Sus scrofa: one gene and its partner. The protein of the gene in region 1 interacts with the protein of each later gene in a biochemical or structural test. Links are inferred from orthologs where the notes say so. Each region holds a gene or a part of one and is shown on either strand. Other genes may lie near its edges.

The links.
Region 2: the proteins of FLT1 (region 1) and PGF are reported together in a solved structure, tested with the Homo sapiens proteins (2 studies listed by BioGRID and IntAct, with this or other methods). The link is inferred for Sus scrofa from reciprocal best matches to the Homo sapiens genes FLT1 and PGF.

The regions. Positions count from the first base shown.
Region 1 is NC_010453.5:5,739,750-5,743,558, reverse strand, and holds part of FLT1 (vascular endothelial growth factor receptor 1), read left to right. Parts: intron 1-3,276; coding exon 3,277-3,433; intron 3,434-3,527; coding exon 3,528-3,664; intron 3,665-3,809. UniProt on the Homo sapiens protein: Tyrosine-protein kinase that acts as a cell-surface receptor for VEGFA, VEGFB and PGF, and plays an essential role in the development of embryonic vasculature, the regulation of angiogenesis, cell survival, cell migration, macrophage function, chemotaxis, and cancer cell invasion.
Region 2 is NC_010449.5:98,160,042-98,163,950, forward strand, and holds the start of PGF (placenta growth factor), read right to left. Parts: upstream 2,724-3,909; 5' UTR 2,350-2,723; coding exon 2,275-2,349; intron 1,101-2,274; coding exon 1,058-1,100; intron 1-1,057. UniProt on the Homo sapiens protein: Growth factor active in angiogenesis and endothelial cell growth, stimulating their proliferation and migration. It binds to the receptor FLT1/VEGFR-1. Isoform PlGF-2 binds NRP1/neuropilin-1 and NRP2/neuropilin-2 in a heparin-dependent manner.

The DNA of each region.
Region 1 (3,809 bases):
CTTAGTGAAGGAGGCCAGCCAGAGTGGTTAGGGCAGCGCCCAGGGCCACGCTTCCTGAATTCTTACCCCCGCCACTTACCCGCCAGGTCATCAAACGTCCCTCAAGCAGATCGTCTGTTTTTCTGTTTTAGGAACTTTCCCAAATTCCCCCAGGTAAACATTTGGTGGAGATAGAGTTTTCTCTGTTTTTCCACCCAGCTCTATAGTCATTAAAAGGAGAGAAGTATAAAATTGTTTTTCTGTTTTTTCCACTTTTCTTTTTTTGTTGCTCTTTTTTTTTTTTTTTTTTTTTTTTTTTTTGGTCTTTTCAGGGCCGCACCTGCAGGTATGGAGGTTCCCATGCTAGGACCCAGGAACTGGAGCTGCAGCTGCTGGCCTACACCACAGCCACAGCAAGGCCAGATCCTTAACCCACTGAGCGAGGCCAGGGATGGAACCTGAGTCCTCGCGGATGCTAGTCAGATGCGTTTCTGCTGAGCCACTATGGGAACTCCCTTTTTTTCACTTTTAAAAAATTAAAAGTGGAGTTGATTTACAGTGCTGTGCCAATTTCTGCCGCGCAGCAGGATGATTCAGTCATATATATATATATATTTACATTCTTTTTGCAGAGAAGCATAAAGTTCTAAGGTTTTTTTGGTTTATTACATATTTATTGAAAATGTTCTAACCTAGGAGTTCCCTGGTAGCCTAGTGGTTTAGGATCCAGCATTGTCATTGCTGTGTGGTGCGGATTCAGTCCCTGGCCCAGAAACTTCTGCATGCTTTGGGCACAGCCAAAAAAAAAAAAAAAAAAAAACAAACAAACAAAAAAAAACGACAACAGCAAAAACACCCAAAACTTAACCTATTACACGTGTATGAAGTTGCTATCTTTCCCTTCCATTTCTCTTACTGTCCCTTCTTTCCTAACGGGTTGTCCCCTCCTCTCCTTTCCCCTGCCTGCACTGGCGGAGCCCTGCTCAGCTGGCGAGAGCCTCCCTGTAGGTACTGCCTTTCAGGGCTGCCCATCTGTCTGCCCCCCTCTGACACATACAGCACCTGCCCCAGCTGATAAGCTACCTAGTCTGTTGCTGTTTTAGCTCCTGTTGGCTGGAAATCAAGTTCCTTTTTCAGTGGCTACAGCCAGTGGCAGGAATGCATAGGTGAGTAAGGGAAACACTGCAGAGGAGATTTCCATGTGTTTGTAAGTCGCACAGAGAAGTTGGCAGCCAGTCTGTCTTTGAGATTCAGCACATTGCTTTTGCTTTCACCTGTTTTTATAGTGTCATGGATTTCGATCCCTGGCTTGAAGTTTTCTGAGTTTTTCCTTTAATAGTTTGTCAAGTTAGAAGACAAGGTTCCCCACCCCCACCCCCACTGACTGCGGAGGGTTCCTAAGTTTACGGATAGAATCCTAATTTACTAAAACGACATGCATCCTTTGATTGCTTTCCATTCTCCATAGATAGGATGCAATTCATCTCAAACCCAAGTTGCACTCTGGCGATATGTACCAATGCAGACATACCCATGGGGGAATAGAAATCTCTGCCGTAGGACCATACATCCCTGTCTGCTTCCAGAAGCAGTAAACATAAATGATAAATGGATAGAGTGATGGATGCATGGCTGCACCCATGCACCTTTGGCTGCCCCTATAGCACATGCAAGTTCCCGGGCCAAGGATGGAATCTGAGCAGCAGCTGCAACCTGGACAGTCGCCCTGGTGACACTGGATCTTTTAACCCACTGCGGGCTAGGGATTGAACCCGAGCCTCTGCAGTGACCCAAGTGGCTGCACTCAGATTCTTAACTCACTGCCACAGCGGGAACTCCGAGGGGTGTGTGTATGTGTATACTTTTTTTTTTTTTTTTTTTTTTTTTTACTTTTTAGGGCCGTCCCTGTGGCATATGGAAGTTCCCAGGCTAGGGGTCAAATCGGAGCTGCAGCTGCTGGCTCACACCACAGCTATGGCAACATCCAAGCCATGACTGCAATCTCCACCACAGTTTATGGCAACGCCAAAACCCCAACCCATTGAGCAAGGCGAGGGATCAAACCCTCATCCTCATGGATACCAGTCTGATTCATTACCCCTGAGCCACAACGGAACTCCCTCCAAAGTGTACTTTTTAAAAGAAGATACAAAAGACTCGAAACTTCTTTATAGCAGTTGATGCTGTGAAGCTTGGTAATCTGTTGTGGGAAAGTGATCTGATTTTCCCCCCGCTTTTTCCAACTGGGGATAAACAATAGCAGTCATCAGACCACTGCCACTCAAACTGGCTGGCAGTCTGCCATCAGGGGAACTTGGCTGGGCCGCTCTAGGGGCAGTGACCCTTTACAAAGTCTAATCCCACCAGAGATGGTTTGAATTGAGTCCTTGGTACAGAGGAGAGGCATAGTCGGAGAATCAGATCGTGGATTCTTCTGTTTGGGGGTACTCCCAGGAATTGGGGGGCACTGCATTCGTAACTGTTTCTGGCCTCACATTCACTTTCGGCTCTCTTCCCTGTCAGCAGCCTTGGCTTCTGGAACTTTCCCTCCCAGGGGCAGGGTCGACACCCTCAGTCTTCCCCAGAGTGATAACGGCAGTAAGTGCCGAGTTAATGCCATGGACTGCAGAGGACCTAGAATTATGGTCCTTTTAAGACAGCAGCCTCTTTTTTTTTTTTTTTGCCCCCCCTGCCACAGCATATCTGCAGTTGCCACCTGAGCCGCAGCTGCATCAACACCGGATCCTTAACCCACTGTGCCAGGCCAGGGATCAAACCCGTATCCCAGCGCTCCCGAGATGCCGCCCATCTCACTGTGCCACAGCGGCAACTCCAAGACAGCTGCCTCTTTAACAAATCAGGCAAAATGGGAGGCGAATGTGTGGCTTGTTAAAAGCTCCTGGTGACGAGACCGTGAGGACGAAGTGGCAGCCCTAAGGGGAAAAACAGCAAAACATTGATTGGTTTCCTGAGCCAGTTCGTTACAAAGGGCCCAGAGCTCCGGGTTCCCACGAGGGCTCTGACGGGTGAGGAGGTCTCTCCTCTCCTCGGTGGCTGCAGCTTTCGGCCAAGGTTCTTAGCAGACGAGCATGTTGACTGCAATGCATCAGAGTCAACGTGGAGGTGGCTCCATGCAGAGCAAATTAACGAACCGACGATGACAGACTGAAGCTTCTTCCCGCACCCTTCTCATGTGCGGTAACAGCTACATTTTCAGAGCGTTAGTGAATAAGTAGGGAAACGCTTCTATCACAGGGCTAATACGACTCTGTGAAAATGCTTTTCTTCCTTTTCCAGTTTCCACCTGATACGCTGGACGGAAAGAGAATCACCTGGGACAGTAGGAGGGGTTTTATAATATCCAATGCAACATACAAAGAGATAGGGCTGCTGACATGTGAAACAACCATCAACGGACATTTGTACAAGACAAACTACCTCACGCTTCGACAAAGTAAGTGATCTTCCAGAAGCCGGAGTGCCCCTGGCTTTATCCAGTTCATGAAACGTCGATTTTTTTCTTAAATGTTACCTTGCTATGCTTGCAGCCAACACAATCACAGATGTCCGAATAAGCACGCCGAGCCCCGTCAGACTGCTGAGAGGTCACACTCTCGTCCTCAACTGCACGGCCACCACGCCCTTGAACACCAGAGTTCAGATGACCTGGAGTTACCCCGGGGAAGTGAGTGACCCTGTTGCTTCTGTAGGACAGTATTTTGTTTGAGCAAAGGCAGTGTCACTGCGTTTTCGAGGTGGGGGAAAAAATCAGAATATTCTGACTCCCGTGGTGGTTTGAGCCAATAAAGAAGCTTTGGGGTTGGTTTGGG
Region 2 (3,909 bases), on another chromosome or scaffold:
AATGCTCCCATTTACCGATGAGGAAATGGAGGCTCAGACTTTTGGGTAGCTGTTGTCTGAAATATACTAAAAAGTATACTAAAAATATACTAAAAACATCAAAAAGGCCATGGGGTGGGCATAGGTGATGGGTCCCTCCCCAAAACCCAAAGAGCATATTGTGCCCGTCCCAGAAGGCCCAGCAGAGGGAGAGAGAGGGTGTCAGTGAAGTCAAGGATGGCTGCTGTCCCCACCTTCTCAGGGCCCAAGGGGCCTGGGCCTCAGCCTGGAGAGGCTGGCTACCAGGCAGCAGGGGAAGGGTGTTCCCAGCTCGCAGAGGCTACCACGAGTGTGCGTGCGCACGTCCCTACATGCTCCCTTTCTTCCGTGGGAAGTGGTGTGTGGCCTGGCTGCACGTCTCGTAGAGGCAGGGAGGGAGGAGCAAGGCAGGGGGGCCTGGCACGGGCCTCCTGCCTTCTGCACTTTTGTCTCTTTGGCAAATGTCTCACCCTTTGAAGATTCCCTCTTGATGCAACCGCGGGGTGGGGGGGCGAGGGAGGGTGCGACTCATTATGTCTGTTTGTAATCAATGGAAAGGCCGGGTCAGATCCCTGCAGCTCCTCCAGGGCTGGGTTGCTGGGAAGGTTCTCTGGCCCCTCCCTGCTCCTCTTGACTGCTTGCCCACTGCATCCACATCTCCTGGACCCCCAGTCTGGTCCTTGGCACTCACTGCCTGCGCTGCTCTCCAGTATCACATCTGTCCCCTCACATTACATGCTGGGAAGGGGCTCTGAGCCAACCTGACGAGCCCTGGGTACATGAGGCCCAGCCCTGCTGTGCCCGGTGACCCTGGCCCAGGACTATACCTCTCTAAGCCTCTGGGTCTCAATGTGGGACCAGCTTTGTCTGAGTTCCAGGGCATCAGCCAGCTTGCCGACTTTCCCCAGCTTGACATCAGGCTGCACGCACCCTTCATGCCATCCTTTCCAAGCCTCTGCAGAGGCCTGGGGGATGAGGGCCCTGTGAGCTTGTGTACCAACCACTCCCCCCCATGCACCTTCCACCCCAGCAGGCTTACCTTCCACCTCCGATGAGCTGTTCCCAGCAGACAAGGCCCACTGCTGCGGACAGAAAGGTGCAGAGATGAGGGGACCACCTTGGCTGCACACTGGGGCCCAGTGGAAGAGCATAGAGGCTCCTCTGTGCCGCTTCCCACCCGCTGCCCCCACTCTCCATCCCATCTCGGAGCTGGCTCCTCCGGGTGGGTCCTACCGCTGTCTCTGGCCTCAGTTTCCTCATCTGCAAAGGCTAGGAGGCCGGAAGCTTTTGGAGACACTTTGCCTGCTGTGTCCCAAAGATCTCGGGATTCTTTGGGGTCTCCCTTCTACCCCGCCCCCAGGCAGCCCTGCTGGGCCCTGTGCAGCCTGCCTTGGCTGGGTGCCAGAGCCCAGGGGGCGGTGATCAGCTGGTGGGAGCCGAGGCGCTGGAGCCGGTGGCGCCATGAGCCAGTGTGCCGGTAAAGTTACACCTCTGACCAGCCCTGCAGCAGGCAGGCGGGAGGCGGTGGTAGGGCTCTTCCGCCCCCGAGGGACAGCCCGGCCCACCCACTTCTGGGCTGGGGCTGGGGACTCCCAGGGCAGCAGGACATCACAGTGGGAAGGGAGCTCATTGGCTTTGTCAGGATTTCACTGCCCAAGCTGGCTCATGGCCAGACTCACCCAGCTCCTGGGAAAAGGGCCCTGCTCACTTCCCCAGGCCCTGCACTCAGGACCTCCGGCTGCCCACCCGGGAAAGAGGGCACAGTGGGACCCTTGTCTCGCCCCCAGCCCACCCAGGAGTCCTGGGCTCAACCCAGAGCCCTGGTGGGGCAGGGCCCAGCTTTCCCACCACTGGCCTCTTCAGTCAGCTTCCTCTCCATCAGGCCAGGTCAGAGGTCCTGGGGGCGCCTGCCTGGTCATGGGGCCTCGACCCTGACCACAAGGCCAGGGACCCGCCTGGGATTAGTGGAGAGATGCTTTTAGCAAAGCCACCAGGGCTCCAGGGGCCAGACAGGAAACCTCCCTCCCTTCCCTGTGGCTTCCCTGCCCCCGCCAAGACAGACCCCAAAGCTGGAGTCTGAGACAGCGCAGCCTGAGGTCTCTTCCCAGGGGACACGGTCCAGCCTGGCTCCTAGGAAGGGTATGGACATCCCTGGAGGTGCCGCTCCCGGGAGAGGGTCTGCGATTTCAGAGTCCCCTGTTCCCAGTACTGGGAGTGGGAAGATCAGGGAAGCCAGGCTGGGGATGGGGGTCTTACCTGGGGGGGCACAGCCGGCAGTGCCAGCCCAGCCAGAAGCTGCAGGAAGCAAGTGAAGAGCCTCATGGCAGGCATCTGCTCAGACGTACCAAGCCAGGGGGCTCCAAGGGAAAACCACCATGCTCTTCCCCCCGGGGAGGCCCCCGGCCCAAGAGGACAGGAGCTGAATGGGGGGCTGGGTGCCCCCTCACTGCTGCCCCGAGGTCCCCGTCGGTGGGCTGAGCATCCTCTGGAAGCCCTGAGGATTCTGGAGCCCGTAGGTAAGGCTGCGGCTGGGGAACCTGACGCGGAGCGCCGGGCAAGGCCGGGCGGTGTGGGGCAGGCGAGTCCCTGGGGAGGGTCCGTCGGGCGCCCAGCGCGACCCCAGATCCTCTCGTAGCTGGCCCGCGAAGATGCAGTTTCCTCCTCAGACAGCAGCTCCCTTCTGGGACTGAAGCTTGTCGGCGGCTGGGTTTCAGGGGCCGCGAATGGGGCGGGGCTGCAGGCCCGCCCCGCCCACCGCCCAGACCCAAGTCCCTGGGAGCCGCCGAACGGAGCGCCGAGCGGAGCCTGCGGGCTGCCGCCGGGCGGGGAGAACCTGAGCGCGGCCGGCCCGCAGTGCGTGGAAGGGGCGCTCCCGACGCGGACCTCCTGGCTGCCGGAGCCTGCTGCCCGGGGCGCCGGCTGACCCGGGCAGCACCCAGTGCGGGCCGCGGAGAGGGCTCCGCGGCTCCGCTCCCGCGCTTCCAGGCCGGCCACCTTGCATGGGGGGCAGCCAGGTGTGGAGCCCACGCCTGCCAACAGGGCTCCTGACGTTAGCGGATTCTGCGGAGACTGCAGACCCAGCCTCCCCAGGGCAGCAGCGATTTGGTCTGGCCCTTCCCGTGCCACCTTATGCCATCCCCATAATCCTCAAGGGCGAAAGAATTAGAAACCCTATTTTACAGATGAAGAAACTGACGTTCTGAGAGGGCCTCTGCCTGGTGCACATTTATGTGTACTCTTGAAAAGTGTGTGTGTGTGTGTGCGCACGTGTGTGTGACTAATGGAGACAAAACCCAAGGCATGTGGCTGTCTCTTCAGCCCATCCACCATCCTCCTAGCCGTGCACTTGGACCGCCCGCAGCCCAGCTGCGGGCACCTGGCGGAGGCTTCGGCACCATTTCCTCTTGTGGGAAGCCAGTTTCCCAGGCCCTGCCTGCAAGCCTGCCACATGTGGGTTGGAGTGTGGCCTAGAGCAGCATTTCCTCCTGGTCCCAGGAGGAGGAGGAAGTGCTCCAAGGCTGCGGGGTCTGCCGACAGGGGTCTGGGTGCGCGAACGCGCGTCTCTGTGCATGTGTGAGGGCATTGATGTGTAGCCGTGGCGATCCATGCGTGCTGTCCGCCTCTGTGTTGTCTGAGTGTCTGTGTGCCTCTGCTGTGTGTGCAAATGTCGCCTGTGTGAGGGTCTTGGTATCTCTGTATGCCTGTGTGATTACATATGTATGTGTCCGCTTTTTTCTGCTGTGTTTGGAAGTGTGTCTGAATGTGCATTTCGGTGGGCCGGTGAGTTTGTATGCCTGCCTGTGCCTTTGTGTGTGTCTTTGTGTGTGAGTAGCTCAGCCGGCTTCTGTGTGTGCCTGCACATCTCTCCGTGTATTCGTGTGTGCCTTCCAT